Ovis aries: one gene and its partners. The protein of the gene in region 3 interacts with the protein of the main gene of each other region in a pairwise test. Links are inferred from orthologs where the notes say so. Each region holds a gene or a part of one and is shown on either strand. Other genes may lie near its edges. The genes, in order: OIP5, KIFC3, TFIP11, FAM13C, SNRPB, RRP7A and SAP30BP.

The links.
Region 1: the proteins of TFIP11 (region 3) and OIP5 interact in binary tests that used the Homo sapiens proteins (3 or more experiments, as listed by UniProt). The two-hybrid records come from large-scale screens. The link is inferred for Ovis aries from reciprocal best matches to the Homo sapiens genes TFIP11 and OIP5.
Region 2: the proteins of TFIP11 (region 3) and KIFC3 interact in binary tests that used the Homo sapiens proteins (3 or more experiments, as listed by UniProt). The link is inferred for Ovis aries from reciprocal best matches to the Homo sapiens genes TFIP11 and KIFC3.
Region 4: the proteins of TFIP11 (region 3) and FAM13C interact in binary tests that used the Homo sapiens proteins (3 or more experiments, as listed by UniProt). The two-hybrid records come from large-scale screens. The link is inferred for Ovis aries from reciprocal best matches to the Homo sapiens genes TFIP11 and FAM13C.
Region 5: the proteins of TFIP11 (region 3) and SNRPB interact in binary tests that used the Homo sapiens proteins (3 or more experiments, as listed by UniProt). The link is inferred for Ovis aries from reciprocal best matches to the Homo sapiens genes TFIP11 and SNRPB.
Region 6: the proteins of TFIP11 (region 3) and RRP7A interact in binary tests that used the Homo sapiens proteins (3 or more experiments, as listed by UniProt). The link is inferred for Ovis aries from reciprocal best matches to the Homo sapiens genes TFIP11 and RRP7A.
Region 7: the proteins of TFIP11 (region 3) and SAP30BP interact in binary tests that used the Homo sapiens proteins (3 or more experiments, as listed by UniProt). The two-hybrid records come from large-scale screens. The link is inferred for Ovis aries from reciprocal best matches to the Homo sapiens genes TFIP11 and SAP30BP.

Annotation. Positions count from the first base shown.
Region 1 is NC_056060.1:34,994,549-34,998,546, forward strand, and holds the start of OIP5 (protein Mis18-beta), read right to left. Parts: upstream 2,801-3,998; 5' UTR 2,793-2,800; coding exon 2,471-2,792; intron 2,255-2,470; coding exon 2,188-2,254; intron 1-2,187. Other genes in the region: NUSAP1 (nucleolar and spindle-associated protein 1), read left to right, coding at 3,169-3,261. UniProt on the Homo sapiens protein: Required for recruitment of CENPA to centromeres and normal chromosome segregation during mitosis.
Region 2 is NC_056067.1:25,344,597-25,348,739, reverse strand, and holds the start of KIFC3 (kinesin-like protein KIFC3), read left to right. Parts: upstream 1-1,343; 5' UTR 1,344-1,626; coding exon of another isoform or gene 1,627-1,637; coding exon 1,638-1,809; intron 1,810-4,143. UniProt on the Homo sapiens protein: Minus-end microtubule-dependent motor protein. Involved in apically targeted transport. Required for zonula adherens maintenance.
Region 3 is NC_056070.1:66,369,134-66,373,395, forward strand, and holds the start of TFIP11 (tuftelin-interacting protein 11), read right to left. Parts: upstream 2,801-4,262; 5' UTR 2,737-2,800; intron 1,142-2,736; 5' UTR 1,133-1,141; coding exon 924-1,132; intron 1-923. UniProt on the Homo sapiens protein: Involved in pre-mRNA splicing, specifically in spliceosome disassembly during late-stage splicing events. Intron turnover seems to proceed through reactions in two lariat-intron associated complexes termed Intron Large (IL) and Intron Small (IS).
Region 4 is NC_056078.1:14,369,152-14,373,351, reverse strand, and holds the start of FAM13C (protein FAM13C), read left to right. Parts: upstream 1-1,400; 5' UTR 1,401-1,692; coding exon 1,693-1,754; intron 1,755-4,200.
Region 5 is NC_056066.1:52,396,632-52,399,692, reverse strand, and holds part of SNRPB (small nuclear ribonucleoprotein-associated proteins B and B'), read right to left. Parts: intron 1,428-3,061; coding exon 1,316-1,427; intron 1-1,315. UniProt on the Homo sapiens protein: Plays a role in pre-mRNA splicing as a core component of the spliceosomal U1, U2, U4 and U5 small nuclear ribonucleoproteins (snRNPs), the building blocks of the spliceosome.
Region 6 is NC_056056.1:219,366,612-219,370,766, forward strand, and holds the start of RRP7A (ribosomal RNA-processing protein 7 homolog A), read right to left. Parts: upstream 2,801-4,155; 5' UTR 2,782-2,800; coding exon 2,709-2,781; intron 820-2,708; coding exon 677-819; intron 1-676. UniProt on the Homo sapiens protein: Nucleolar protein that is involved in ribosomal RNA (rRNA) processing. Also plays a role in primary cilia resorption, and cell cycle progression in neurogenesis and neocortex development.
Region 7 is NC_056064.1:55,225,602-55,229,101, reverse strand, and holds part of SAP30BP (SAP30-binding protein), read left to right. Parts: intron 1-469; coding exon 470-530; intron 531-1,220; coding exon 1,221-1,272; intron 1,273-2,243; coding exon 2,244-2,302; intron 2,303-3,061; coding exon 3,062-3,142; intron 3,143-3,412; coding exon 3,413-3,497; intron 3,498-3,500. UniProt on the Homo sapiens protein: Plays a role in transcriptional repression by promoting histone deacetylase activity, leading to deacetylation of histone H3.

The DNA of each region.
Region 1 (3,998 bases), on a different chromosome or scaffold from region 3:
GGCTACAAAAGCAATCATGGATACACAACTGTCACTTTGCAAAAGTAATTTATATCTGAAAAGCAGAAAAAGAGCTAACTAATCAGATTAACATTTAAACATATAAAACTACACATAACCATATAAATTAGCCACCATTAAGCCAATTTGCAGTTGAAGTAAAACAATCAAGTTGACTAGGGCTTATTAAGCAATTTATTAATAGAATGCAAATCAGGATTTTTTTGCAGATGTAACCAAAAACAATTTCCCAGACAAAATGAAAAAGAAAGAAATTTTATGATCCTAGCAAGTCATCTACTTTATTTTCCTTTATCCTCTAAAAGAAATGTGGTTTTAGTTCTATTTAAACCATTTGAGTAACTGATTGACCTTATTTGCTAGTATATAAGACAAATCTAAATATTACAAAGAAATGTTGTAAGAAAAAATTAACTGTCGTGCATGTACTAAAAGCGATTTAGAGTGGTTCAATGAGGGAAAAATTATTTGTATAAACATAATATACTATGCAGTAAAACAGTACTAATAAAGTATAACTGCATGGCTAAAAATAAACAAATTCATGTCAATGGACACTAAACAGGACCAAGGAACAAACGCACTAAACTTATTGGTAGATGAAGTCCCACACTACACACGCAATACTGTGTTTTTGGAAGTCGCACCTTTGGCTCATGGGTCTCAGGCCTGTGGACTTGGACTAGAACTAAACCTTTGGCCTTCCTGTGTCTCCAGCTTGTCAACCATGGCTCTTGGAACTTCTCACCCTCCATAATCGAGTGAACCAATTCCTGACAATAAATCTCTTCTTGCTGAATCCCATGGCTCTCCTTATTTCAAAAACGTAAATACATCGAACTTTCTCTCCAGTGTTTTAAAAGCCATCTAGATCTGTACTTTCTATAAGAATGCAAGCCATGTAAGTAGTTTCATATCTTCTATTAGTCTTGTTTAAAAAAAAAGGGTAAAAGTAACAAGTGAAATTAGTTTTAATATATTTTATGTGACCCAATATTCAAAGACATCATTTCAACATGTAATCAAGGGAATTCCCTGGGGGTCCAGTGGTTAAGATTGGGCACTTTCACTGCCCTGGCCAGATGTGCTCCCTGGTCTGGGAATTCAGACCCCACAAGCTGTACAGTGGGGCCAAAAACAAACAAAAAAACGACATCAACAACAGCAAAACCCATGTAATCAATATTTCTAAATTATTCAATGTTTTTGACTATTTTCAAAATCTTACGTGTATTTTGCACTCAGCATATTTCAGTTCAGAATGGCCACCGTTTTTAGTGCTCAGTAGCCACCATGTGACAAGTGACAGTACTGGACAGCACAGATCTAGCTAGATGTACTTCTCTCTAAGAAGATATTCAAAGAGCTTCTGCCTCGGGCCCCAAATGAACCAGTTCCAAGCAGGCCACCACTCTTTCCCAGTTTCCTTTGGGTGTGTAGACACTCCTGGAAGGATAAGGAATCTTTCAGCTGGGAAAGAGGAGCTACAGAAGTCTTCCTGGTTACTGAGTACAGCAACTAAGAATTCCTAAACGTACTCTATTTAACACTAAAACTGGACCAACCAATGGTCAAAATGAATTGTCTTGCTGTTAAAATCAACACTGAAAATTGAGGAGCTCTGTACTGAATTCACTGAGTACTTTGTTGTCACTTCTAAATCACAGTACAGATACGATGCAAAGTTCACCAGGCAGTATTCAAGGACCTAACTTTCAACCTGTGTTTTTCTCCAGGTTCCTAGGTTACAGCAGAATTAGTCCCGCTGTAGTTTATTACAAATTCCAGGTGTAATGCAAGTGTATATGTCCTATTATGTCAAAGTATTGCAGTTTATAAAAAGTGATTCACTTAAAGGTAATTTTCTCCCTTTTTCCCCTCCTAATTTTCTTAAATTCACTTCACTTGCACAACCCACGAGGGAAATGTGGCCCTCAGAAGATCTTAAAACCTTTACACAAGTATCTTTGCCATTTCATTAAAACATCAAGTTCGTACAAGACAATCAGGTAAACGGAGCATTCTTCAAGTACACTGTATGAACGAAACAGACATTTCTCCTAGTGGAAGATAGGAAAAAACTTCTGGTCCAAGTCGGTTCCACGCTCTTCAACCACAATAAGTCAGGGAATAACTAGAGACAGTTCTGGAATTTTCAGTACGTACCTGCCTTTGAGCGAACCTTCAACGCCAACTTGGAACTGAGGCTCCAAAACGACATTATTTGTGACTCCTAAAAGGCAAACACAGGTCAGAATGACTACCTGTGAGGCACTGAAAGGGAAAACCTCTCTCAGTCAGAAAAGCTCATCATGGTCACGAATATCGTAAAAAGTTATTCGCCCCCCCCAACCCCCCAGCAAAGGAGTTAAGTTCCTTCCAAATTTTCATCCTGCTTTCCTCCCAGCTGCTCTCAGTCACCCAGTGAGAAGGCGCCGCGCTCACTCACTGGAGAAGACCACGGCCCCGAGGGACCGCGAGAGGTCCCAGGCGAGATGCACAGAGTCAGCGAGCACGGCGTGGCACTGCGCGCACTGGAACACCGCGCACCTCTCGGGCTGCAGCCATCGCGGCAGCCGCGGGCGGAACGGCAGCTCCTCCAACCCCAGCCCTGCGGGGCCGACCGACGAAGACCCTTTCACCACCTGCGTGTCCCACTCCATGGAAGTCGCAAAAGAAGGTTCATTAATCGCTTTCTTAGTCCCATCACAGAAGTCACCCCGTGGCTGCTTTGCAATCCGAGAAACATGCCTCCGCGGCCGAGCAGCCATCTTCCCGCAGCCGGCGCCACCGTTTCAAAGACTATTTAGGCCCCACCCCAAGTTGGCTCCTGCGTCCTCATTGGACAACGTGAACGGGGGCTCTGCCGCGCACTTTGTTGCCTGGACACGCCGTTTGGCGCCTAGGTGTTAGGGCAGTGTGGAGAAGATCGTGGGTCAGGTGGAAGGGAAGTCAACCATCCTATTGGTCAGTACCAGAAGACCCCGCCTTTAACGGATTTGTAACCAATGGAAGTGCAGCTTACGTAATTTAAACTCTCTATAAATACCGGTTTGCTCAACGCTTTGAGTGGCGCCAGAGCGTTGAGCGGCGCCTTAGCAAGTTAAGTATCGGGCCTCCGCGTCGTTACCTGGATTGCAGTTCGCCATGATCGTTCCCTCCCTGGAGGAGCTGAACTCCTTCAAGTACAGTGACCTGCAGAACTTGGCCAAGAACCTGGGCCTCCGGGCTAACCTGAGGGTACGGGGCCGGTGACTGGGGGATAGGATATGCGGCTTCTTTGAGACGCTGTGGGAGGGGACCGAGCGGGAATTTCGAGGGCTGAGGCGACTGTCCCGGCCTTGGGGCGGTAGATTTTGGTTTACCCAAGGGTCCAAGTAACTGTGCAAAACCGAGAGGGTGTCAAAGTTTTCACCTTTGTTGAGGCTGACTCTTACAGGGACTCAGAAAGATGCCCGCCTCCAAAATTGTTTGCTTTGGTTTTATTGGGAGTACTCTGCTATTTATCAGTCCATCTGTTAGGAAAGGCAGGCCCTTTAGAAAACTAAAGGAATGCTGCATCTAAACGCCAATTAATAGGCGGTCGCGAAAAACTCCAAACAGCTCACACTTTTGTTAAATTGCCTTTGCTTCTGGAAAACTCCAAACAGCTAACAGTTCTGTTAATTGTAAGAGGTCCCAAAATTTCCTGCTACTTGAATGGAGGACGGAAGAAAGGATGATTTTTAGGGAACCTCCCCCGTGGATAAGTTTTTATTAAGTTAGCTCTGATTCAGTAGGATCGTTCGTCTATTGGTCATTGTTGTGGTAGTGTTCTATTCAAAACCGATGAGGTCTTTGACTCTGATACTGCGAAACGTTTGGGGGAAAATGTTCAATTCTGGATTGGATGTATATATTGTTCTGTATATTTAGTGGAGTTTTCCCACATAATATTAAAGTATATTCTGGAGATTTATTCTGCAAGCTGTAGTGTT
Region 2 (4,143 bases), on a different chromosome or scaffold from region 3:
AGGCTCCCTGCCTCCCCCAGGCTGCTTCTGGGACATCCTCTGAGGAAGGCCGTCTGGGCCTACACCAGGAGCTGCTGTCTGCTCCAAGCTGGCATTCTGAATGTGTTTTCACTGGAGATTAAAGGAATATTTTACCTTTAAAAATCCCAAACAGCTTCCCTGCTCTGCAAGACATCTATCTCTTGGTGGGGTATGAGAGGGGAACAGGGCCAGGCAGGAGCAGGGGGCAGCAGGTGGTGCCCTGGCTAGGGAGGCAACCTGGCCTGTGTGCTCCTACTAGAGCTAGTGAGAATGCACGTGTGAAAACGCGTGTGCTGATGTGTGACAGTGCATGCATGGGCACGTGTGCTCACTAAAGCGTGTGTTGTTTAGTTGCTAAGTCAAGTCTGACTCTTTTGCAATCCCATGGAGTGTAACCCGCCAGGCTCGTCTGTCCGCGGGGTTTCCCAGGCAAGAATACTGAAGTGGGTTGCCATCTCCTCCTCCAGGGGCTCTTCCTGGACCTGGGATCGAACCCAAGTCTCTTGCCTTGGCAGGTGGATTCTTCACCAGCTGAGCCACCTGGGAAGCCCATGAAAGTCTGTACTGGGGTTAGCAGCATAGGAATGTTGCTCTGTGAAATGTGAGGAAGAGTTCAAGAGTACCTGAAGAAGCATGTACAGCATTTGTGGGAAAGCAAGGGGGAAAGTCTGAACTCCGTACAGGAATGTGAGTGCACATTGGAAGTGTGTGAGAATGTGCAAGTGTGCACACATACTAGCTAGTGTGTGTGTGCTAGAAAGTTTTAGAAAAAAGTATACTACAGATTGTGAGAAACTGTGAAGCGTGGCAAGGGAGCACTTGTGAGAATTGTGTGTTAGTAGTAGTAACTAGTGTGTGCAAAAGTTTTGTACTAGGGTTTGAGGAGGTGTGGATGAGAATGTCAGTTTAAGTGCAAAGCATACACGTAGGAACGAACGTCGGGATGTGTGTGGGAACTGTGAATGTGTTCATGTGGACTCACTAGAGCGTGTGTGCAAACCTGTGAGAGCCGCGTGTATTGTATGTGAGCACGTAGGACGGCTTGTGTGCGTCTGGGGTGAGCGCGCACGTGTGCACGGGCGTGTGCGGAGCGCCGGGAGACCCAGAAGAAAGGTCTGAGCAGAGCCGGCGGCCCCGCGTGAGAGTGTGAGTCTCTGTGTGTGTGCACGCGGGAGCGCGCGCGCGTGCCGCCGCCCCCCGCCAGGGTCTGAGCCGGTTGCCATGGGAACGCGCCGCGGCCCGAGTTAATCATTTCCTGTGGAAAGTGTGCGGGAGGGGCCGGAGCGGGGCGGGAGCGGGGCGGGCCAAGGAGGCGGTGGCGTGGAGCTGCCTCCCGCCGGCGGGCCGGGCCGGGCCGAGCCCCTGGCGCTGCGGCGACGCCGGGATCCTGCCTCCGCCAGGCCGGTGAGTCCGGGGCTCGGGCGGGAAGAGGGAGGGCTGGGCGCTCGGGTTCCGCCCAGCCCGTCGTTCGGGGTGTCGCGTCCGGGATCCCCCTGCCCAATCCCGAGGTGGGGCGCGGGGAGGGCCGGGCCCGGGAGACCCAGCCCTGCGCTATCCCGCCCCCACCCCCGCCCCCCACGCTGTCCAGCCAGAGCCGATCAGAGCATGGGGGCGACATGTCCCCTGGAATGCGAGCAGCCTCGGGACCCCCTTTCCGATTTCAATGGCCCGGGAAAGCCGGAGATTGCCAGGGAACCGCGTGCCGGTCAGCGCCGCCCCCTCCCCGGGCCGAAGTCCCCGGGTCCGCAAGGCTCCCTCGAACGCTGCAGTTTCGAGCCCTCCCACCGCGTAGGTCCTCTGGGCAGTTGGCTTTCCCCTTCGCAGGGCCGGGATGGGGTGGGCTAGCGGCAGGTTAGGAACGAGGGCCTGGGCCGGCGTCCCCCTGGGCAGTGGGGAAATTGAGCCTTTGACAGCTGCAGCCTGGTGGGGAGGGGTTCCCAGCTGGGAGGGCCAGCCCGAAGCCACCTCTGTCAGCCCCCTGTTGTGAGTTAGAGCGGAACTCTGGCGCAGTGAAGGGCCTGGTCCTGGCAGATTTTAAAGAGGAAGCTGTATTTAAATTCTCAAGTACCATTTGTCATCAGCACCCCCCCCCCCCACACACACACACATTTGTCTCAAGGTTGGGGGTCCTGGCCACACCTGCCCTTTCGCCTTCTCTGGCTTTCTGTCCTCCTGAGGCTGAGCCAGCAACTCTGCTGGCCCAGGCTGTTCCCTGTGCCCTTGATAAAAGTAGCCGTCTCCTTGGCCAAAGAGTCATTTGTGAGGAATGCAGTCTGAGAATGGGGCCCTGTATTTGCAGTGACTGGACTTAAGGGATGTGGGGGTAATGCGTTCTGCTTTCCCTCTGGGCACCAAGGGACAGAGGCTTTGAAATCTGGGTTGACCTGCAAAACCTAGGATGTGTGACTGCTCAGGGGAGGTCCAGCCCCTGTCCACCCTCCCAGACCTTCTGCCCCCTCTCTCAGGGAGACGAAGACTATGTTTCCCCAAGCAGTGGTCTCTGGGCAGTTGTCAAGTCTATTCCCCAATCATTGCAGCAACCCTGGTCTGGGGGAAGAGGGCTGCACCTCTGCCACCCTGGCCTAAACCTGGAGAGGCTGATGGGGCTCTCCTGCAGCCTGCCCCTGCGTTCACCCACCGCTGGATATAGGTCACTGAAACATTAAATTTGCGGGGGGGAGGGGCAGGGTTCTTTGTATATGTCAGTATTGTTCTTAATGTTGTGTATATGTGTCATCCAAACTTTACATCAACCCTATTAAGGTAGAGTTCTCCCATTTCAAAGATGGAGATACTGGGGCTTAGAGACAAAGTCATTCTCCCAGGGTTGCACATCTACTAAGTGGTGCAGCCGGGCTCTGAACTAGCTTTTGGTCATAACCACGCTGTGCCCCCATCACCCCGTCCTAAGACCTAGGTTTTTGTGTCTCCAGTCTTGGGCTGTTTGAAAGTCCTTGATGCTTTTGACTCTCACATCTGACAGTCTGCTAATTCAGCTACTTTTTCCTCTCCAGGATCTTGCACACACCCTTCCTCTTTCTTCCTGATATCTTCCTGCCTCCCAACTTCCCTTCCTGAAAGCCAGGAAATAATGTGTCCTTCTGTCCCTGCCCCTCAGGCTTAGCTGACCTCCTTAAAAGTCTTCTCAGGGCTTCCCTGATGGCTCAGCGCATATAGAATCTGCCTGCAATGCAGGAGACACAGGTTCGATCCCTGGGTTGGGATGAGCCCTGGGTAGGGATGATCCCCTGGAGAAGGAAATGGTAACCCACTCCAGTATTCTTGCCTGGAGAATTCCCACGGACAGAGGAGCCTGGCGGGCTACAGTCCAAAGGGTCTCAGAGTCCAACACAACTAAGCACAGAGCACATGAAGGTCTCCCTCAACCATGGAATCGACCTTCAGTGCCCTTTGCCATCTCACCTTCCAGCAGCTCAGCATGCAGGTGGAGCCCGTCTCACTCCCTCCTTCTTTACCCACTGGGCAGCTGATCCTCAGGGCAGATTGTGTGCCCAGCTCTTTGCTGAGTAGCCTGGAGAAGGGGACGTCTGGCTACATCTCCCAGTTCCCTCCACTCCACACTCGTCCATCTCCATTTCCTCAGCGGAGCTACCCACAGGCAGCATTAATGTCCACTCTGCCCTTTGGCCAGCAGTCCTGACCCCTGCCAGGGAGAGGGCACCCAGGAGATTCCTCCTCCAAGGTGTCTTCCTTAATCAAGGAAGGTAGAGGCCAGGACTCTCTAGCCAAGAGCCTGGCATTCTTCCAGGGCTCAGCTCTGCCAACCTCAGGCCACCCATCCTTGGGGTCTTCCTTCTCTTGCCTCTCAATGCTTCAGTTGTTCCTGTTCCTCTATTGACCCAGCATGTGCAGATCTCTCCTGTTCTAAATTCCACATCCTCTCCTTCCCATCCTAGCCAACTTCTCCAAAGAGAAGGAAGTGGCAGCTTCCTCTGGCCACCCCCACCCCACCTTAGACTTTCCCAGGTCTGCCCTCTGTTCTGCTCCATTGACCTTTCTTCCAATTGGATCTCTCCGTGGCATGGTTCCCTGGTAATTGACCATCCCCTCCTTCTCACTCCCGGTCACCTCTGAGGACTCTTCACCTGTCTGTTGCTTCAG
Region 3 (4,262 bases):
TTCTCTCAGCAGGTCAGTGAGACCAGGCCCGTGAGACCAGGACCCGCAGGTCCTGGCTGCTGTTACTATCTTACGATCATACACTCCTGCCCTGTGATCCACACTGTCCACTGGTAACATTTCTTGCCAGATGAAAAGAGGCTGAACGGATCTCTGCTCTTTCTCCCTGTCTCTTTTGTGGAAAATGTACAGTCTCAACGGGCTGGAGCATCCAGGCTTCAGGTGGGGACACACAGACTAACCTCAGTCTGCTACACAGTCTGCTCAAACACGCTGCAGCCCCCACACACGACTTCACACCAAGGAGGCGGCTTTCAGCCTGAACCCCCAGCCCACAGCTGCCCTCCCGGCCCAGTCTCCACCACCCGTCCCCGGACCACCGCCCGGGTCTCATCACACAGCCCCGCTTCCACTCTGGCTTCCCAGGGTCGTCTGCACACACACTCCCCCCGCCACGTCTCACCCCCTCTGCACAGACCACAGTCCCCTCCTTTCCCTCTCCCCCGTCTCCCCATAAGACCACTCACACCCTCCTGGGCGCCCTGCTCCTCCCATCAAGGGGCTCTGCTCCCTCCTGCCCCTCACCACTCAATCTTCCCTGACCTCCCAGAACGGGTCAACACCCGGAAAAGTACTCCCCCTCCGGTCCTACGTCAGTTACAAACTTCCATTTGTGAGCCTGCCTTCATCCTCCGGGGTCTGGGCTCCTGGAAGGGAAGGACTGGGGCTGCAGCACAAGGCTTTAGATACATGATCGCTCACTCGTGATCGATCGGTCAGTGAGAGAGCAGTGCTCTGTCTGAAGGAGGAACTGGGCTCCCTGGCTGAGGCCGCAGCTAAGGGGCTCGGGGAGGCCGGGAGAGAAGCGTACTTAGCAGGGTAGCTCCCCAACGCCTGGGGAAAGCGGTCCGCGCCAGCCATACCGTTTGCCTCCAAAGCTGGGCCTCTCCTCATCCGAGTCTCGCTCTGCCCACACTCCGTAGGTGGCCTCTTCCTTGGTCTGCCAGTGGCGCTGCCGGTTGGGGTTGAATTCATTCTGGAGATCCCAGTCGGTGATCTCAAAGTTCTCCCGCTCGTCCTCGTCATCATCCATGTGGCCTTCGCCGTCCCGGTACAGGTGGGACAGCGACATGGCCCGTCACTGAAGGGAGGCAGGGAAAAGGCACAGTTTGTGACAAGTCCCAGGGCAGCAGCAGAAGGCTGCCCTCACAACTTCCTCCAAACTAAAATCCACTGAAGTCACTGTTACAATTCAATAAAGCAGACGCTAAAAACGTATTTTACAAAACAGGTACCAAAACAGAATAAAAAAGACCAGTCCCAACAGTCCATGTGGATAAAAACATATTTCCTTCTCAATGTTGTCAAACATCACCCACACGCACATACACACAAACCATGTAAAAACAATTTAAGGATGTTACTCTACGGATGACTGCCTCACAAATGAGGCAAACATCTTCCTGGATATTATTTTTTTCTATTGCTGAGTGAAGAGTTTCATCTGGACTTATAACAGTTGAGCAAAGTGATTTCTTTTTTTTTTTAGAAAACACTTATATATAACCCTCAGGTTTTCTTCCCCAGACAGGAACCTCTTTTGAGGCACTAGAAGGCAGTAGTGATTATGAATACGACCTTAAAACAGCACACATCTGTGAACCGGAATGCAGCAATCCACTCAGGGTAGCTGGGTGATGAGATTCAGCTGTCTCTTAAGTGGATTAACTACAGTACCAACCTTAGAGAAGGCTTGTGCAGCAGAATCAATGAGATGGCTCTTTCAAAACACTTAGCTCACAGGAAGTGCCTGTTACTCTAGTCCCAGATTAGGTCTATGGCCCCTCCTATTACTGGATTAGCATGGAGCAAAGTGATTGTGAAAGCAGGTGCTGAAATCACACAGACCGAGTTCAAATCCCCACTCTACCTGGTACTCAATGCATGGATATTAAATGCAGACCATGTGCCAAGCATGGGGCACCGCAACGCAGTACATTAGGTGCAGGACAGCGCTGTGGCCTCCGTCTAGCAGCTGCAAAAAGCAGGCTTCAGGGACAGCCAACTCACAACACTTCTAAGGCGAGTTCAAACTCTGGTCAGCTCTGTGGGAAAGTTTTCCCTACTTAACTCTACTCAACTCACTGGTGCAATGGTTGGGTCCTGCCGGTCCCAACGTCATCCAGGCGCGAAAAAGGTGGGAAATACTCTCAGAGGAGGCGGCGTGTCCCAGATACATGGGAGTCGCCGATCACCGCCGCCTCCTCGGGCACAGGGCATGGTAAAAAGCACGGAGCTGTCACGAGTTACAGAGCCCCCAGGAGGTGCTAAGTAAGCCCTTGCTGGACGCCTCAGGCCGATAATCTAATATAGGCATCAAGGCACCTCTACGAGGGAGGTACTGCGAGCGCCTTCGAACCTCAGACTTCAGTAAAACGAGGCTGAGAAATTAACTTCCCTAGGCTCCACGGCTGGTGAGGCTTGACACCAGCTGAACTGCAGCCAGGGCTCGGCGTCTCGCTGCCGCGCCGTCCAGGCCCCGCGGTGGAGGTTCGGGGTCCAAGTCGGCCCGGAGACCTCGAGCGGCCCCGCCCCCGGCCCGCTGCGGCCGAGCTGTCTGCCAAAGGGAAGAGGGACCGGCGAGGCCGAGGCCCGCTTCCGCGAGCCAGAGTCCCCTCTCCTACTGGCACGGACACCCCCGCGTCCCCTGTCCGTCCACGCCCGGGCCCAGCTCACCTCTCCCCGGCTCAGCGGACCAAACTCAGAGCCCCACTCCGTGCGAGAAACGCGCCACTAAGGCGCCGGAACGCGAATGCGGCGCACCAGAAATGACGTCACGTCAGCCGATGTGACGCGCTCGTTGCCATGGCAGCAGTGGGACGCTGGGGCGGCTTTAGATTTAGAGCATTTGAGTTATTGATATGGTGAAGGTTTTCGCGGCCGAGAACGGCTAAGGGCTGTTTCTCTGTTGTTTCTTGTCGCGCTCACTTCTTCGTGACGCCCGCCTCTGACGACTGGTACGGACGTCGCCGAGCCACCCTGGCCGAGGGAGATTCCTTTGTCAGCCTGAGATTCTAAATCTGCAAAATGGGGATATAAGACTAGCTCCTGGGACATTTGTGCATGAGACATTTGCGGTGGCGTGGGGACGGCACATGACATTCAAATAGGAATAATGAAGGTCAAGACTGTCTCCTGGATCTTCGAGTCTCTCAGTATAAGCACGGTCGTGGGCCCGGAGCGGTTGCCTTTTACAGGAGTTTGATTAAGTGAAGGATTAAATGGGCAAACTCCCAAGTATTCTGCCAGGCAATCTTTTCATTCTCTTCCTTTCCAACAGGTTGGTAAATAAATCAGTTCACTGATCTAATAAAAATGTACCTAGTGCCTACAATGTGCCAGGCTCCGGGAATCAAAGGAACTGACAAGCAGGGACACTCCTAGAGAAACCCTCACCAGCTCTGGATTCCGCGTCAGCACACAGGCTCTAGAGTTCCAATCTCAGCTCCACCACTTAACAACTGTGAAACCAGGCAAGGCATTGATTACCTTTCCTGAAGCAAAATGGTTGTGATAAAATAGGTAAGCAATTAAAACTGTACCTGGTACATAACAGATGCTTAGGGAGTGTTAGCTGCTAATTTTACCTTTTATTTTCTCTCACTCTATCTGTATGATGAAAAGACCTAAGCTCAGTTCAGTTCAGTTCAGTCGCTCAGTAGCGTCTGAGTCTTTGTGACCCCATGGACTGCAGCATACCAGGCCTCCCTGTCCATCACCAACTCCCTGAGTTTACTCAAACTCATGTCCATTGAGTCTGTGATACCATCCAACCATCTCATCCTCTCCTCCCAGCTTCAATCTTTCCCAGCATCAGGGTCTTTTCAAATCAGTCAGTTCTTTCCATCAAGTGGCCAAAGTATTGGAGTTTCAGCTTCAGCATCAGTCCTTCCAATGAATATTCAGGAATGGTTTCCTTTAAGATGGACTGGTTGGATCTCCTTGCTGTCCAAGAGACTCTCAAGAGTCTTCTCCAACACCACAGTTCAAAAGCATCCATTCTTCAGCACTCAGCTTTCTTTACAGTCCAACTCTCACATCCATACATGACTACTGGAAAAACCATAGCTTTGACTAGATGAGCCTTTGTTAGCAAAGTAATGTCTCTGCTTTTTAATATGCTGTCTAGGTTGGTCATAACTTTTCTTCCAAGGAGCAAGCATCTTTTAATTTCATGGCTTCAGTCCCCATCAGCTGTGATT
Region 4 (4,200 bases), on a different chromosome or scaffold from region 3:
TTTCATACAAATATAGGCAGGTAACAGAGATCTATTAACTTTTTAATGAGGGTATCTATAAGATGATGGAGAAGGAAATGGCAACCCACTCCAGTATTCTTGCCTGGAGAATCCCCATGAACTGAGGAGCCTGGCAGGCTGCAGTCTATGGGGTCACAAAGAGTTGGACACAACTGAGAGACTAAACACACACATATGCGTAAGACGAGGATGCTCTTGGTTCCAAGAGTGTTTTGAGGAACTGAATATGTACAGGCACTTAGAAAGAATGTTATTAATGTTATAAGACTGTTAGGTTAGATACAAAATTGGTTCAAGTTGCATAATGCAATAAAACCATAAACGCTGAGGTTTTCTTCTGGACAGATCAGACAAAATGTGCAATGCCAGCACGTAGCTCTGTAGTGTCCGGAATCTAACCAAGAGTGACTAGCAAGTTAAACACAGTCCATTTTTGTAGAGAATTAAGCAGTCCTTGGGTGGACCTCTGAAGCACTGTCTTGGTGTGACACTGAAAGATCTTGCTCTTTCCCCTTATTACCAAGTTTTGAATAATTTTTCTAATAATCTGAAAATTAAATTTTGATTTTTTTTGTTGTTTAACTCATTATCTTATATAATTTAGACTAAAAACTACCATCTCAGTGGCTTCAGAGAGTGAAGAGATTAAAAGAAGGGAATGAGGATCTTCTCAATTCAAAATAAGCATCTTTCCCAGGTGACTGTTCACTCCACATCAAGGTCAACCAGGCAGGAGAAATTAACAATGAAAAGAGAACAGGACAGACATCTCCTGGGGAATGAGGCAAGTGGGAGGCTGACAGCCTTCCCTTCCCCCAGTAGGGCTGCCTTCATTTAAAGTGGGTAGCGCAGGTGGATTCGATCTCTCATCTTTTGTAAAACTGGTTGGGAGTGGAGCTTGGGCCAGCTGCCCTGGGCAGAGCAAGCCCCACTCCGCGCACGTTCCCCCCAGTCATCAGCTAATGCCTGGAATAAATTCTCCCCTCTCCTTGAGCTGGTTCATTCAGAGCTTTGAGGTCCTGGGCTGGGCGCTTCCTCTTGGGGACTGAAATAACGGGAGTGCAGACTGACTGGTGTAATGCTACCAGCCCTCTTTCAGGGCTCTTCTTTTTCTTCCTGGGCAATAAACATAGACACCAAAAACAGCAGTTATGATCCCCTCCCCCTTCTGGTTCCCTTCCAGCTTTTTCTGAACGATCTGTGCATCTCTGCGAGCCTCCATCCCTAGAGGGGGTAGCTCTTGTAAAACTGGTAGGAGACGTCTGGAAGAAAGCAAGTCCCCCGGAGATTTCAGCACCTGGGTAGAAACAGTCGGGCTTTCCAGGGGGTGGCCGGCACCGGGAGGCCTGGATTAAAGGCGGCGCTGGGCTGGCGAGATTGAGGTCCCGGAGAAGCGCTCCAGGTGCTCCTCGCGGGGGTCCCGGGTGCGGCTGCCTGCCGCGCCCCGCCCAGCTCTGTCCCCGCAGCCTCGCGGGCTGCCGGGCTTTGTGGTTCGCCCGTGCGGCTGGGCCCCTGCTGGGGGTGTTGTTACGAGCATGTGCAGACAGCAGCCCAAGGTAGAGCGAGCGTGCCGGGCGAGCCCTGAGACTGGCCTTGCAATGCCATGTTTGTGTGTGTGCTCTAACTCCCGGAGAGCAACCAGGGAGACGGCTCCCCGGCCGGACTTGGCTGATGTTTTCTTGTTTCTGTTTCAGCCTTCAGGATAATTCCTTCAGCAGCACCGCTGTAACAGAGTAAGTGATTCTTGTCAATACAATAAGATTTGCCTGCCTTTCTCAGGAAGCAACTAACGTGAAGGTATCCTCCCCCGTCCCCAGCTGCTCTGGGTACTAGATGCATTGTCTCCTGTAATCTGGGGCTGTGAAGACCGGGAGACGTGGGGGCTGGTGGGGCCCAGAAATCTTTACAGGTTGAAATCAGCCTTTTAGCAACTATGGGAGAGCTATTAAAGCAAACTGATGGCTTACGGGAGCACAGTGCTCCTATATTTGTGTTCTTGGAGTTCAGATTTTTGAAAAATGAATCTCGTTGACATGTCAGCAAGGAAGCTTTGTTGTGTTTTGCCAACACTGGTGTCTGTTTTCATGAGCACGCTGTGTACATTTACAGCAAGTAGGAGATGGATGTGAAATGACTCGAGTTGAATTCCAGCATGTGATAAATAGGCTAAACTTAGCCTCACCCTCTCCTTTCTACAGACTTTTAAGACAGTAAACTTTTCTTGCATGCCCTTTGTCGATTTTGTCTGCTGCCCTCAGAGATCTGGCTATCGTAGGACTGTGTTATCTACTCCTACGGCTAAAGCTTTTGATAGGGACAAGTAATACCATTCAAACATGGAATGAAGGAGTGTAAATATTTTACTCAAGACCAGCATGCATGGTATTTTTTATTAGATATTTAGAGTTTATGCTTTTAATTCTTGTCATCCTTTCCTTAATGTTTTTCTAATACTGTATTATATGTATATGTTAAAAATTAGTGGGTAGTATATTATGCTAATAGTATATGTAACTGATATGGAATTTACATATATACATATATGTATGAAATATCTACGCTTTATTTAGCAGTCTTTCTCTAGGCTAACTCATGGTGTTTACTTCTGGGACCTTACTATAGAAGTTACTCTAAATAGTTTTTTAGGAAAAAGAGGTGTATATGGTTATATGCTCAACTACATTTAAAAAATGCTGCAAGTTTGATACAGAAGTCCCAGTAGCTTGGGAGCTATTTGCTAAAGTTCCCTAACAGGCAAATAAATGATATGAGATTCAAGTCACTGTATCAGTGACTTGGTAATGGAGGACTATAGGGCTTCCCAGGCCCTCTTGATTTTTACATTCTTTTGTTTCTCTGGATACTACTCTCTTAGAGTTGAGCTTTGGGCTGTCTTAAGTGGAGTTACTTAAAAAAAGAAAAAGATCCAGGGTTGATTTTCGAAGATCCAGTGTAAAACACTCATTGAAACCTTCTTCCTGTTAATGAACTTGCTTGGTAACGGTGCTATAACTTTGCTTTCCTAAAAGCCTTAGAGTGGGGAGAGGCGCAGGCCAGAGATGAGGCTGTGGCTCGCTGGTTTGGGTACACGGGTATTACTTTCTTCCTTTTGCTGTGCATATAGCACCACAAGCTTCCTGGGCCCGACTCTCAGGACCTGGTGTGGCTGAATCCCCAAAGTCAGCCATAGGCATAGCAGCTTCAAAATGGAGTTCCTTAGTTTTAGATTTCACCTGGACATTGTTTTAAAATTGGTTTTAGTTAAATGCTGGGGAAAGTCTGGTACCTTGTCTTTGGACAGTCCCCAAGGAGTTCTGATTGCATAAGACCTTGTTGTTGTTTTCAGAGAAGTGACAGTGATTTATTTTAAAAGGCACTGAGTGACAATTGGGATGCCATCTGGCTAATCTAAAAATCTGAGGGGCATATTTGAAGCATACCAAGCCTTCATAGGTGTAACAGTACAGTCTAGGGCCATTTATAACTAGTCATTGTCTAATATAGTATTTTCTCCTCTGAGTTTTCCTTGGTTCTTTAGGCATGACCCTAAAGCCAGCAGGATCAGAATGTGCTATACTGAGATAGAAGTAGCAGGTGATTCATAAATGTTCAGGTCTGGTCTTGGCATACAGCACTTGCCTCTATTCTACGGTCTGGATAAAAGAAAACATCGCCTTTCTCCTATCTCCACCCTACGCCTACTTCCTCCTACCCACCCACACATACTTATCTTTTCTACTGCCTGAAATTCTACCTAGAGATTTTTTTTTGGATGAAGAACTCTGGTGGTGACCCTTATTAAAATGGAAATTTTAAAAGTCTGTGTCCCTGGGAGGTGGATTCAAATTGTCATTAATATTTTAATATAAATTATGTTATCAGCTAGTTTAACCTAACAAGGTTCTGCTTGGCCAGCTGGGGGTCTTTTAAGAGTCAAAGGGAGTGGAATTGGGAGGTACTCAAGGACACATTTTATTCTCTTCTTAATTTTTCCCATGCCTTGCCTGTCCGTGTCTGTGCAAATGTGGCCCAGTTCAGTTTCTTTTTCCTACCCAGATTCTTCCAAGGTCAGAATGGCCTTGGCCTTGGTTCTCTATCTGTGTACCCTCTCATCTGTTATTTTTCCGTGGTCATTTCCTATGTTGCCCTGGCTAACTCATTACTTGAAATGAAGCATAT
Region 5 (3,061 bases), on a different chromosome or scaffold from region 3:
AAACACTATCCATTCCTGTTAACACCACTCTTCCTCCATCCAAGATTATATGCCCAGCAGGCTAAAAGAACTTAAGGGTTTTAAGTCAAGAGAAACAGGTACAACTCAACCAATATGCATTCCTATGAAAATCAAATAAACAGCCAAGCCTCCACCCCAAAGGGTATCTATGTTAGATTAGTGTTTTGACCCGACAAAGAGATATGAGGTCCAGTCCCAGCTCTGATTCTCACTTGGTGGGTAATAGTGGGGATAGTGGGCAAGTAATCCCACCATTCTAGTACTGCTTCTTCATCTACCAATGAAGAGGTTTTAACAAAACTGGTTGTGGTCCTGAAGGCTTACAATCGGCTACATTAGAGTAGCAAATTCTACTGGAAATAGATACCAAAGCTATGAATAGGTACCTAGGCCTTGAATCAGAAACATGGTAACATCCTTTGCATATAAGAGTCTAAACAAAAGGAAATAACTAGGATAAACTACTCTGCACTCACTTGAAAGTATCTTTAAGTCATTAACATGACTTTTGAATACAGCAACTGGAAAAATGTTTACAATGTTAAGTTAAAAAGCAGAATGATACACACCTATTACAAGTTTAAAAAAACCCAACATATATATATGTGGACAAAAATTAACACAAGGTAACAAGATTATTCCTTTAACAAACATTATCTTAAAACGAAAAAGGGGAAACAAATTTGGTTAGATTCTCTAAAGCCTCTCCTATTTCTAAAGGGAGGCTGATGTTAATGAACCAATACTGCTTGGAATCAAATGACAGTTTCACCACTTTCCAGCTGTGCCACCTTGTGCAGGTTACTAAATTTCAATTGGCATTATCTATAAAGCGGGAATAATCTATCTCAAAAGACTGTTACATGAATTAAATACTGAAGGGCGTGGCAAATAGCAGATGCTTAATTAAATATTAACTATTATTCTATAACTATACAAAAAATATACATGCATTCTATTGTTTGGAGTTACAATTTTTTATGGTCCAACTAGACTGTCATCACATTAAGAACTGATCCAGGAGGCCTTAGGTGCCTCTTCTATTGACTAGGTACATCAACTAAGGAAAAGAGGGCTTTAAAGTTACAAACCCTCAAATCCTAGTTCCTTACTTCTGACTTGCAAAGGAACCTCTTTAAGATTCTGGTTTATTATCTGTATAAGGGAAACAGAAACCAGAAGATACCTATGAGAACTGCAATGAAACAGAGAACCCCACACAGGGCCCAGGTCAGGGTGGCACCTCCCTTGCACAAGGTTCCTGGCCTTGCACTGGCTCTCAGTTCTGACTTACATCTTTTGGAGGTGGTCCCTCTACTGTCATTGAGACCAGGTTCTCCCCTCGAAGTAGTACAAGACCGAGGACTCGCTTCTCTTCTCTCTCTGCTTGCTTTGAGTTCTTTGGTCTAAAGACAGGTTTAGGAGAAGAAACAAAACAAAGCAAAACAGCATTAGAAAAAGGGTAAAGTTCATGTTCACCTACCTAGGGGCCCTCCGAGACTTTTTTTACACTAAATCTACTGACAGGCTAAACTTGTAACCTCCCCCCATTTGATGGTTGTCTCCCATGCCAAGAGAATGCACAGACCAAGAGACAGGACAAGATTCAAGAAAGCCCAGCCCTGGCTCACTCACAAAGCCACTGTGAAAGCCTTCCCTCAGTCAACTCTTTGTTGCCATTACCCTTTTTCTTCCTTCAGTTTAAGGCCTTAACAATGTCAGGAAGGCAGTCGGAACAATTCCTCAAGTCAACTGAATCCCATTCACTCTACTTACATGCAGTATCCTTCTAGTATTAATTCAGCCCCACAGAACTATAACTCTGTCTCTCACCTCATATTAGAAATAGAAGCCATAAAGGAAAAGGTTAAGAGATTAGCTACATAGAAATTACACTTCTATCCTCAAAGAACAAAAACAAATCTCCAAATATCCACAAGTAGAAAAGGATGAGCAAAATATAAACGAGATAGACTGGGAAAAAGTAATTGCAACAAGACAGGGAAAGGAAAGTCAAAGCCAATATCCTAAAGTTAAAGGAAATACAAAATATCTTGATTTTTAAAAATTACTTAAAGTTTTCATTTTAATGATATTTTATATAAATTTTCTATAGGTGGTCATTTTTTCCTCTTTTTTAAAACTTATCTATAGTTCTTATTTTTTTTAAAAAAAGCATGTACTGCCCTTTCACAATTTAAAAAAAAAATCCTTTCTGGGTCTCTTAAGTTTTTTCTCATATACTTCTATGTACTTTTACAAAATATTTTCTAATGGGCACATTTTCATTACCAGAATAAAGTTAGTCTCATTTAAAAATGTTGGCCACTCTCTAATGTACACCGGGCACTCAGCCATCACTACCATTTTCTGTCTTATACTTCTTGACCTCATGCCACAAAGAAAACAAAAGTCCCAAAGAGAATTAAAAGGAACTGACAGCCACTGGTAACACACTATGGACACTCCAGTGGCAAAAGAGAGCTGGATGGTCAAGGAAATTACGTAACTTCTTTGGGCCTCAAGATGCCTTTACTGTATAAAACACTAGACCACATCTTTTACCAGGCTAGAAGCTTAAGATCGGTGAGTCCTAAGACAAGGGAATTATCTAACAAATTATGGGACTGTATTCTCCAATTGTTTCTGTAAATGACAACAAAAATCACTGGCCCCAAACCCACAAGGGGAGTTGAGCACTTACCCTGAAGAGGGTCAGAGGCTTCTTAAAGCAGTTTCAGACCAGGCTGCACTGTGAGAGCCCTTTAGGCTACAGCTTTACAAATAGGCAATGAGGCCAGAAAATCAAGCTCTCCCCCCTTACACACCTGTGGGGAGAACATGAGAGCCCTTTACCCCAGTACCCCCGGGCACACAAAATCAGAGAAATAAAAAGCCTGGCAGCCCTACTTACAACTTGTACTCTGCTAGAAGTAAAGAGCAAGACTAAGGAAAGAGATTTAAGAAACTCTCCATTTTAATCTGCCCTGTAAAACAGGAGAGCAAACTGAGAGGAACCAGCCAGCTAGTCACCACCTAA
Region 6 (4,155 bases), on a different chromosome or scaffold from region 3:
TGAATAGTAGACTCAGAGGTAATTTTACTTTCTCCTACTTTTCTTATTTTTTTTTTTTACTATGGATGCGGATCAATTAAAAAAAAACAAAACAATGTTTATGTTGTCAGACTTCACACAAGTAGTTGGCACAACCTTCACAATACTCAAGAAAAAATGTGAGAACAAGTGTCTGTCCTGGAGGAGGGCATGACAACCCACTCCAGTATTCTTGCCTGGAGAATCCCATGGACAGGCAGGCTCCTCTGTCCATGGGGTTGCAAAGAGTAGGACACGACTGAATGACTAACACTTTTGGTTTCAAGTGTATCTGTCTTCAGGTGGAATTATGCTTGGCAGACATAGTTATGCAACAACTACTTTAGGCAACAGAAGACTTTAGCTGTACTATAATACTACCTGCAATGGACATGTATCAATTTTATAATCGGGGAAAAAACACGTAACTCAAACAATTCTGGGTAACATATAAGAAGCTATGGGCTCCCTAGAGAATTATATTTAAAAAAGGACATCTTTAAAATGCCAACTTCCTGTTGTAAGAGATGCAGACTTCCAGACACCACCCCTCGGGACTTCAGTTAGCTGCTTCCCTCTCATCACTGAGGACTGGGGGGTGGGGGGCCCACAGGAGCCCCTGCCCCAGGCTCAGGTTCCCTTCCAGACACCCGTTTACCTCTGTGCAGTATGGGGGCACGTTGAGGACAAAAAGAGTCCGCTTCTGAGGCCAGGAAGACTTGGTGCCTTCTCGAACTTTGTGCTCTCTCACATAGAGGTAATGAGAAGACTGCTGCTTTTCAGAGAATTTGATCGGAATGGCTGGAAGGAACGTGGGAACGGGGAGGGACGACACACGAGTCAGGTTCAGGCTGTCCCTTTTTAGTCCTGTGTGCCTGTTGGTCCGCCCATCCACCCATCCATCCTTCACTGAGCTCTTCTCCTAGGCAAGGCCTGTGCAAGATGCTTCGGCAGGCTACACAGCTGAACGAACACCATCTGCCCAGGAGGGGCTCCAGTCGGCAGTAGAGAGAATTTTAATGGGATGCGAAAGGAGAGAGGTTCAAACTCTGCTGCTCTGGGAGTAAACCCCAAATCCTTACCACGGTCCCCCGTGTAGCCTCTCTTCACCCCATCTTCCCCTCTCCACACCACATACCTCCTCTCTGTTCCTCCAATCAGCCAGGGCCTCACCCATGCTGCTCTGAAACATCAGCCCTCATCCTTCCACCCATTCTTCAGGTCCTTACTCCCTCAGGAGAGCCTTACATGCCAGGTTAGAGCTACCCGCTTTGTGCCTTAACATCTCTCTCGGTCTCTAAGCCCCTTGCTGTGTGATGATTTGGATAATCGCTGGCATTCCCATAAACTTTAATCCTGTCACAAGAGATGCAAACTTCCAGACACCACCTCTTGGGGCACGGAGAGCACGGAGAGGATCCAGAGGATCCAGCTGCAACCCTGCACTCAGGAAGCTCACGTAGTGAAGTGAGAGGACAGAACAAGTCAGCATGTAACAAGGTGGTATCAAATAGGAAGGAAAAACACAGAGTGAAGTAGAGCAGGCTAATGGGTGACAGACGCCTTTGGGGACCACCTCTTTGAGGAAGTAACATTAAAGCCTCCACCAGGGGCTTCCCCAGAGGCTCAGTGGTAAAGAATACACCTGCCAATGCAGGAGACACAGGTTGGATCCTGGATCCGGGAAGATCCCACATGCCACAGAGCAACTAAGCCTGGGCACCACAACTACTGAGTCTGTGCTCCAGAGCCCCGGAGCAGCAACTGCTGAAGCCGGCATGCCACCTAGATAGAGCCGGGGCTCCACTAAAGAAACCACTGCAATGAGAGGCGCACTGCAACCAGAGAGCAGCCCCGCTCCTGGCAACTAGAGAAAGGCCGGAGCACCAACCAAGACCCAGCACAGCCAAAAATAAATAAAATTCCAAACAGGAAGGAAACAGAGTGAAGTAGTGCAGGGTACTGGGTGACACAGGCCTTTAGACATCTATCAGGACCACCTCTTTGAGGAAGTAACATTAAAGCTTCGACCAGAATGACACGAAGCCCTGTAACGGGGCAGAGCTGTCTGAGGAACTCAGAGGAAAAAGACACAGTAAGTACAAAAACTCTGTGGGTGTAAAGAGCTTGTTGTCTCGGAGAAACAGAAAGACAGAGCTTGTAGGTCAGCTAGAGCCAGGATAGGAGGGATGTGATGTCTGGATTTTGTTTTACGTGCTAACTTTAGTCACTGCAGAGAGTTCGTCGGGGATGGGCGTGTGAGGCAAGATCTGAGTTAAATCTGACTTTAGAAAGAACATTCTGGCAGCTGAGTGAAAAACAGAAGGCAGGGGAACAGGCGAGGTGAGCGCTGACGCGGCTGGACCAGAAATTGCAAAAAGGGGCTGATAAGTGGATGGGTGCCTCTCAGGGGGGAGAATACAGACAGACACAAGTTCGCCCTGGAAAAGTGTAGACGAAGGTGCGCTCACTCAAGGAAAGCGTTGGCCAAACTAGGCTCGTCCCGAGCCAAGTGAACCCAGACGAGAACAGGTGCCGCGTGGGCTGAGGGGGCCCGGGGCTTCAGAACCTTCTGGGGCTCACGTCCAAGCGTGTGACTGCTCCTCGGGGTCCTGACCCACTGCCGACCCCCCAGGCTCTTCGTGGAGAAGCACGGCCGCTCCCCAGCCTCGCGCCCCGCAGCCCCTTACCTGAGTAGCCGGGCAGGGTTGGAACCCCCGAATCAGATTCCCGCGCCGCACGCTTCCTTCTGCGCGCCACCATCTTGCCGACCGGAAGCTGCGGGGGATGCTGGGAGTTGTAGTTGGTCGCTGGTAGCCGTTTCCGTGACGACGGCGCCTCCTGGGGCCCCGCCCTCTCGGTTCCAGGCCCGCCTCTTGCGACCCCTAGTTCCCGCCTGCCCGGTCCCGCCGTCCTCCCAAGGCCCAACCTTCAGTTCAGTCGCTCAGTCGTGTCCGACTCTTTGCGACTCCATGAACTGCAGCACGCCAGGCCTCCCTGTCCATCGCCAGTTCTTGGAATAAGGAATTATATTAAAGTACATAATTATATCGTGTATGTAAAACAACACATGGATATGCAAACATTTATCATTTGTATGTAAATGTTTATTATGTAAATACATATATATATTAAAAAGTTACCACAGTATACTATTGTTGATATTTTATCAGTGTTGATATTTCTAAGTGCCGAAACATTCCTTCTCTAGATATCCCTCAGCCCTTTCCCATTTATAAAATAATTGTTTTAAATATTTCCTTTACATGCACTGAGAACATCGTTATTATTTTTGCTAACGACTAGGCTACCAGAGAACTCCCAACAACCATTATTTCTTCGACTTTTACTTTTCTCCTTCTGGGACTCATGTCACAGATTTTAGACTTTTTGTTACAGTACCATAGGCCCCCAAAGTCCTTCATTATTTTTAAGTCTATTTTTCCTTATTGTTCAGATTGGGTAGTTTCTATTGTTTCACCTTCAAGTTCACAGATTCCTCTCTATTACTTTTTTGGGGGGGCGGGAGGGGGAGAATGGTACTTGTAATTTTCAATTTTATTTGGCTGCACCGTGCGGCTTGTAGGATCTTAGTTCCCTAACCAGAAATCAAGCCCACAGCTTTGGCAGTGAGTGCAAAGTCCTAACTACTGGACCTCCAGGGAATTTGGTGTATTTTCAACTTGAAAAGGTTTTTCTCTACTTCTGAAACCAACTTAAAGTGGTTTTTCTTTACTTCTTCAATTGTTTGAAGTTCAAATATTCCATCAATTGTTTTGTGTTAATCGCTTATTGACGAATTTTTAATGGTTGCTTTTAAATCCTTATCAGTAACTAACATCTCTGTCATCATGGAGTTAACATCCATTCTTTTCTCCTTCAGGGTGAAATTTTCCTGATCTTTAGTATGATTTGGAGAAGGCAACAGCACCCCACTTCAGTACTCTTGCCTGGAAAATCCCATGGACGGAGGAGCCTGGTAGGCTGCAGTCCATGGGGTCTCTAGGAGTCGGACACGACTGAGCGACTTCACTTTCACTTTTCACTTTCATGCACTGGAGAAGGAAATGGCAACCCACTCCAGTGTTCTTGCCTGGAGAATCCCAGGGACAGGGGAGCCTGGTGGGCTGCCGTCTA
Region 7 (3,500 bases), on a different chromosome or scaffold from region 3:
ATGGTCACCCCAGGTCCTCCTACCTCTAGAAAGCTGTTGACTCTATGCAGGTTTGACAGACAGACCTGTGTCTGGGTCTCACTCTCTCCAACGTTCAAGCAAGTGACACATCCAGGAAAGAGCCCAGGGCGAGAGCTGCCCTTGCCCTTGTGGGCCTAAGTGGGGATGCTCCAACCAGCCCCACAGACTGAAAGTCTGACGTCCAGTTGAAACCTCATCTTGACATCATACTCGCTCTGCCCGCTGGCCCCAGTCCCTCTCTGTGGAAGGTTGGAAGGCCAGAAGTGACTTTTAATGTCAAGTCAGCGGACATTTGCCCTCCCATTTGGAAACTTGTTTAGAACAGTTCACCTGGGCTAAAGACTTGGTCTGCACACAAGTGCTAAGTGGCTCTGACCTCCTGAGATCCGGTGCTGCGCAGGGCCTCAGGCTCAGGCCTACTCAGCACCCTGTGGCCTTCTTCTTTCAGCATCTATGAGAAGCTCATCCAGTTCTGTGCTATTGATGAACTCGGCACCAACTATCCAAAGGTATGCGCCACCTGCAGAGGCAGCGGGTGAGGGAGGGGACCCAGGGCCCTGTGCCCTCCCCACTGGCTTCAACCTGGACCCACTGAAAGGTCCGTGTGGCACACTGCCAGCAGAGGAGAGCCGTCCCCATCTCTCTTGTTTGAGCCCCAGGGCCTCTGCTTGGTTAGGGGCTAGCGTGGACTCGCCGTGCCCTGTAGATCAGCCTGTCCACAGTGCTTCTCTGCCCTCACTGTCCTAAGAAGGGTTGGCTGGAGACGGGATAGCATCTGAGCCTCCCTGCCCTTTAAGGCCAGAGATTCCAGCCCAGGAAGATCCATGGAAAGACGTGGGGAGAAGCATGTGGTTTCTGAGTCATTTCCATTTATTGGCCCTTTCTGCACCTTTGATGGAGAAGGCGATGGCACCCACTCCAGTACTCTTGCCTGGAAAATCCCACAGGCGGAGGAGCCCGGTAGGCTGTAGTCCATGGGGTCGCTAGGAGTCAGACACAACTGAGCGACTTCACTTTCACTTTTCACTTTCATGCATTGGAGAAGGAAATGGCAACCCATTCCAGTGTTCTTGCCTGGAAAATCCCAAGGACGGGGGAGCCTGGTGGGCTGCCGTCTCAGGGGTCGCCCAGAGTCGGGCATGACTGAAGCGGCTTAGCAGCAGCAGCAGCAGCAGCAACTTTGAACTTTTCTTTTTCAGGATATGTTTGACCCCCATGGCTGGTCTGAAGACTCCTACTATGAGGCATTAGGTGGGTAGCCGTTCATCTGCCCGCTCACCCATCCGTCTGTCTGTCTCTCCAGTCATTAGGCAACACAGGTTTCAGGGTCTCCTCCGTGTTCGGCCATGTCTGAGGAGCTGAGTATGCAGCCTTGAACCATCCAGACCCCTGTCCCTGACTTAAGCTTGCAACACAGCAAAGAAGACAGGATCAAAGGAGAGATTCCGGGAATAACGAGTGGAGTGATGAGGATGCAGGCTGGGCCACCTCATCGGGGCCCGGGGCAGGGTGGGCAGCCTCGTGGAGGACACCGTGTCTGAACGAGGTCTGAAGGTGCACAGAGGCTGGCTGAGCAGGTGTGGACGGGTCCCAGGCAGGGGGCCGGCGGGAGTGCAGCGCTCTGTGCAGGGGCCTGGCTGCGAGGACTGGGAGGAGTTTCAAGGGGCCCGCTCCCTCGGGTACCAGGTCCCAAACCAGTGGCCTGTGGACCACCAGATCTGGCCCGCAGGCATGTGTGGTTGGGCCCCTGTAAGTTCTGTCTTGCTTTAATTTGAATTCACCGCTAGTGTTTTATCTAAAAGTCCAGAGACTTCTCTGGTGGTCAGGTGCTTAAGACTCCGACCTCCACTCTAGGGGGCTCGAGTTCGATTCCCTGGTCAGGGTAGTAAGATCCCACGTGCCGTGCAGCCAGGCCAGGAAAGAAACGATGCAAATCTAAGACCCGGTTGCTGAGAAGGTGGTTTCCCTAGGCCAGCATTACCCCGTGGCTGCAGCCTGCTGGAGCCCAGGAGCAGTTCACCCCTCCAGACGGGGTGCGCAGCCCCAGCTTCAGGGCCTTTGGACTGTGAGGCCCGGCTTCGTGCTGACTCGTGACTCTGCCGATCACAAAGAGATGCTGCAAACAGCAGCCCCGGGAGAGCGGCAGGCGGCAGTCCAGGTTCTTTGGCCTGAATTACCTTGTTTAATCAGCTGCTCTGTAACTGCCTGTCCTGTCTTCATAGCCAAAGCCCAGAAGATTGAAATGGACAAGTTGGAAAAGGCCAAAAAGGAGCGAACCAAAGTAAGTGATGGGTGGATGTCCTGATGAAGCGGGCAACTGTCTGGGGCACATGGGTCCTGCAGGCTGAGCCAGGGGGCTTCCCTCACCCCCAGCCCCCCACCGCGGTTCATCACCCAGCCACGCTCTGAGCAGCCTTAGATGTGCTGGATTTTAAGCCTCCATGACTCAGCCTGAAGACGCTTCCCAGGCTGCTTCCGCTTGATTTCTCGGGGTCTTAATGTTGGCTGCATTGTGTCCCCTCCCCTCCCGATACACACCCTTACCGCTGCCGAGCCCTGGGGGCTTTCTCCCTTTGGGCCCATCGGCAGTCTCCTCGGCCTGAGCAGAGAACGGGCGCTCTGGTCTGTGCCGTCCTTGGCTCCCAGCACTGGCCTTTGCAGCCCGCCTGAGTGTTTCCGTGTGTCTCCATGGCCAGGTGGCCCCTCACGCCAGGACCCTGAGCATGCTGCTTGCCTCTGGCCTGGGTCCTTCAGGGGATGGAGACTTGGCCATGAGACCAAGTCCTCTGGGCTGTGCCCTTTTTGACCGGAGTCTGAGAGAGAGAACACAGCCGCAGGACGCCCGCCCTTCCACCTGCAGTTTAGCCTGGTCCTCCTCCCGCAGCACATGTGGCCTCCAGGACGTGTGTCCCCCACCCCCTTCCCCGGGGCCACAGGGTTGATCCCTCTGGGAGATGGTGCTGGGGCGATCAGGGGTCCTCAGTCTTAACCCTTGATTGAATTTCCCAACTCTCTCTCCTTCCCCCTTTCCAAACCCCAGGCTTGTTGCAGGGACGTGTCTGCAGCACCTGGGGGCCGGAGCTGTCCTTCCCCTGTGCGCACGGGCACCGCCTCCCCCGAGGTGTGAGGGCGGGGCCTGGGCGGGCAGGGGTGCCCCAGCACGCAGAGATGGCCGTGGCGGGAGGGGCCCGGTGTCTGCGGGAAGCTCTCTTCCGGGGAGTAACCGTCCTCTCCAGGCGCCTCTCCAGTGCCTCCCCCACTCGACAGTCACAGCTGGTTCTCAGTGCTTCCCTCGTGCGGTGCCAGGTTGCCTCCTGTCCCCCCAGGAGCAGACAGCTGGCATGCACGCTATGCGCAGGTCCTAACGCACGCTCGTCCCTCTCGCCCCCAGATTGAGTTTGTGACGGGCACCAAGAAGGGTACCACGACCAACGCCCCGGCCACCACCACCACCACGGCCAGCACAGCCGTCGCAGGTA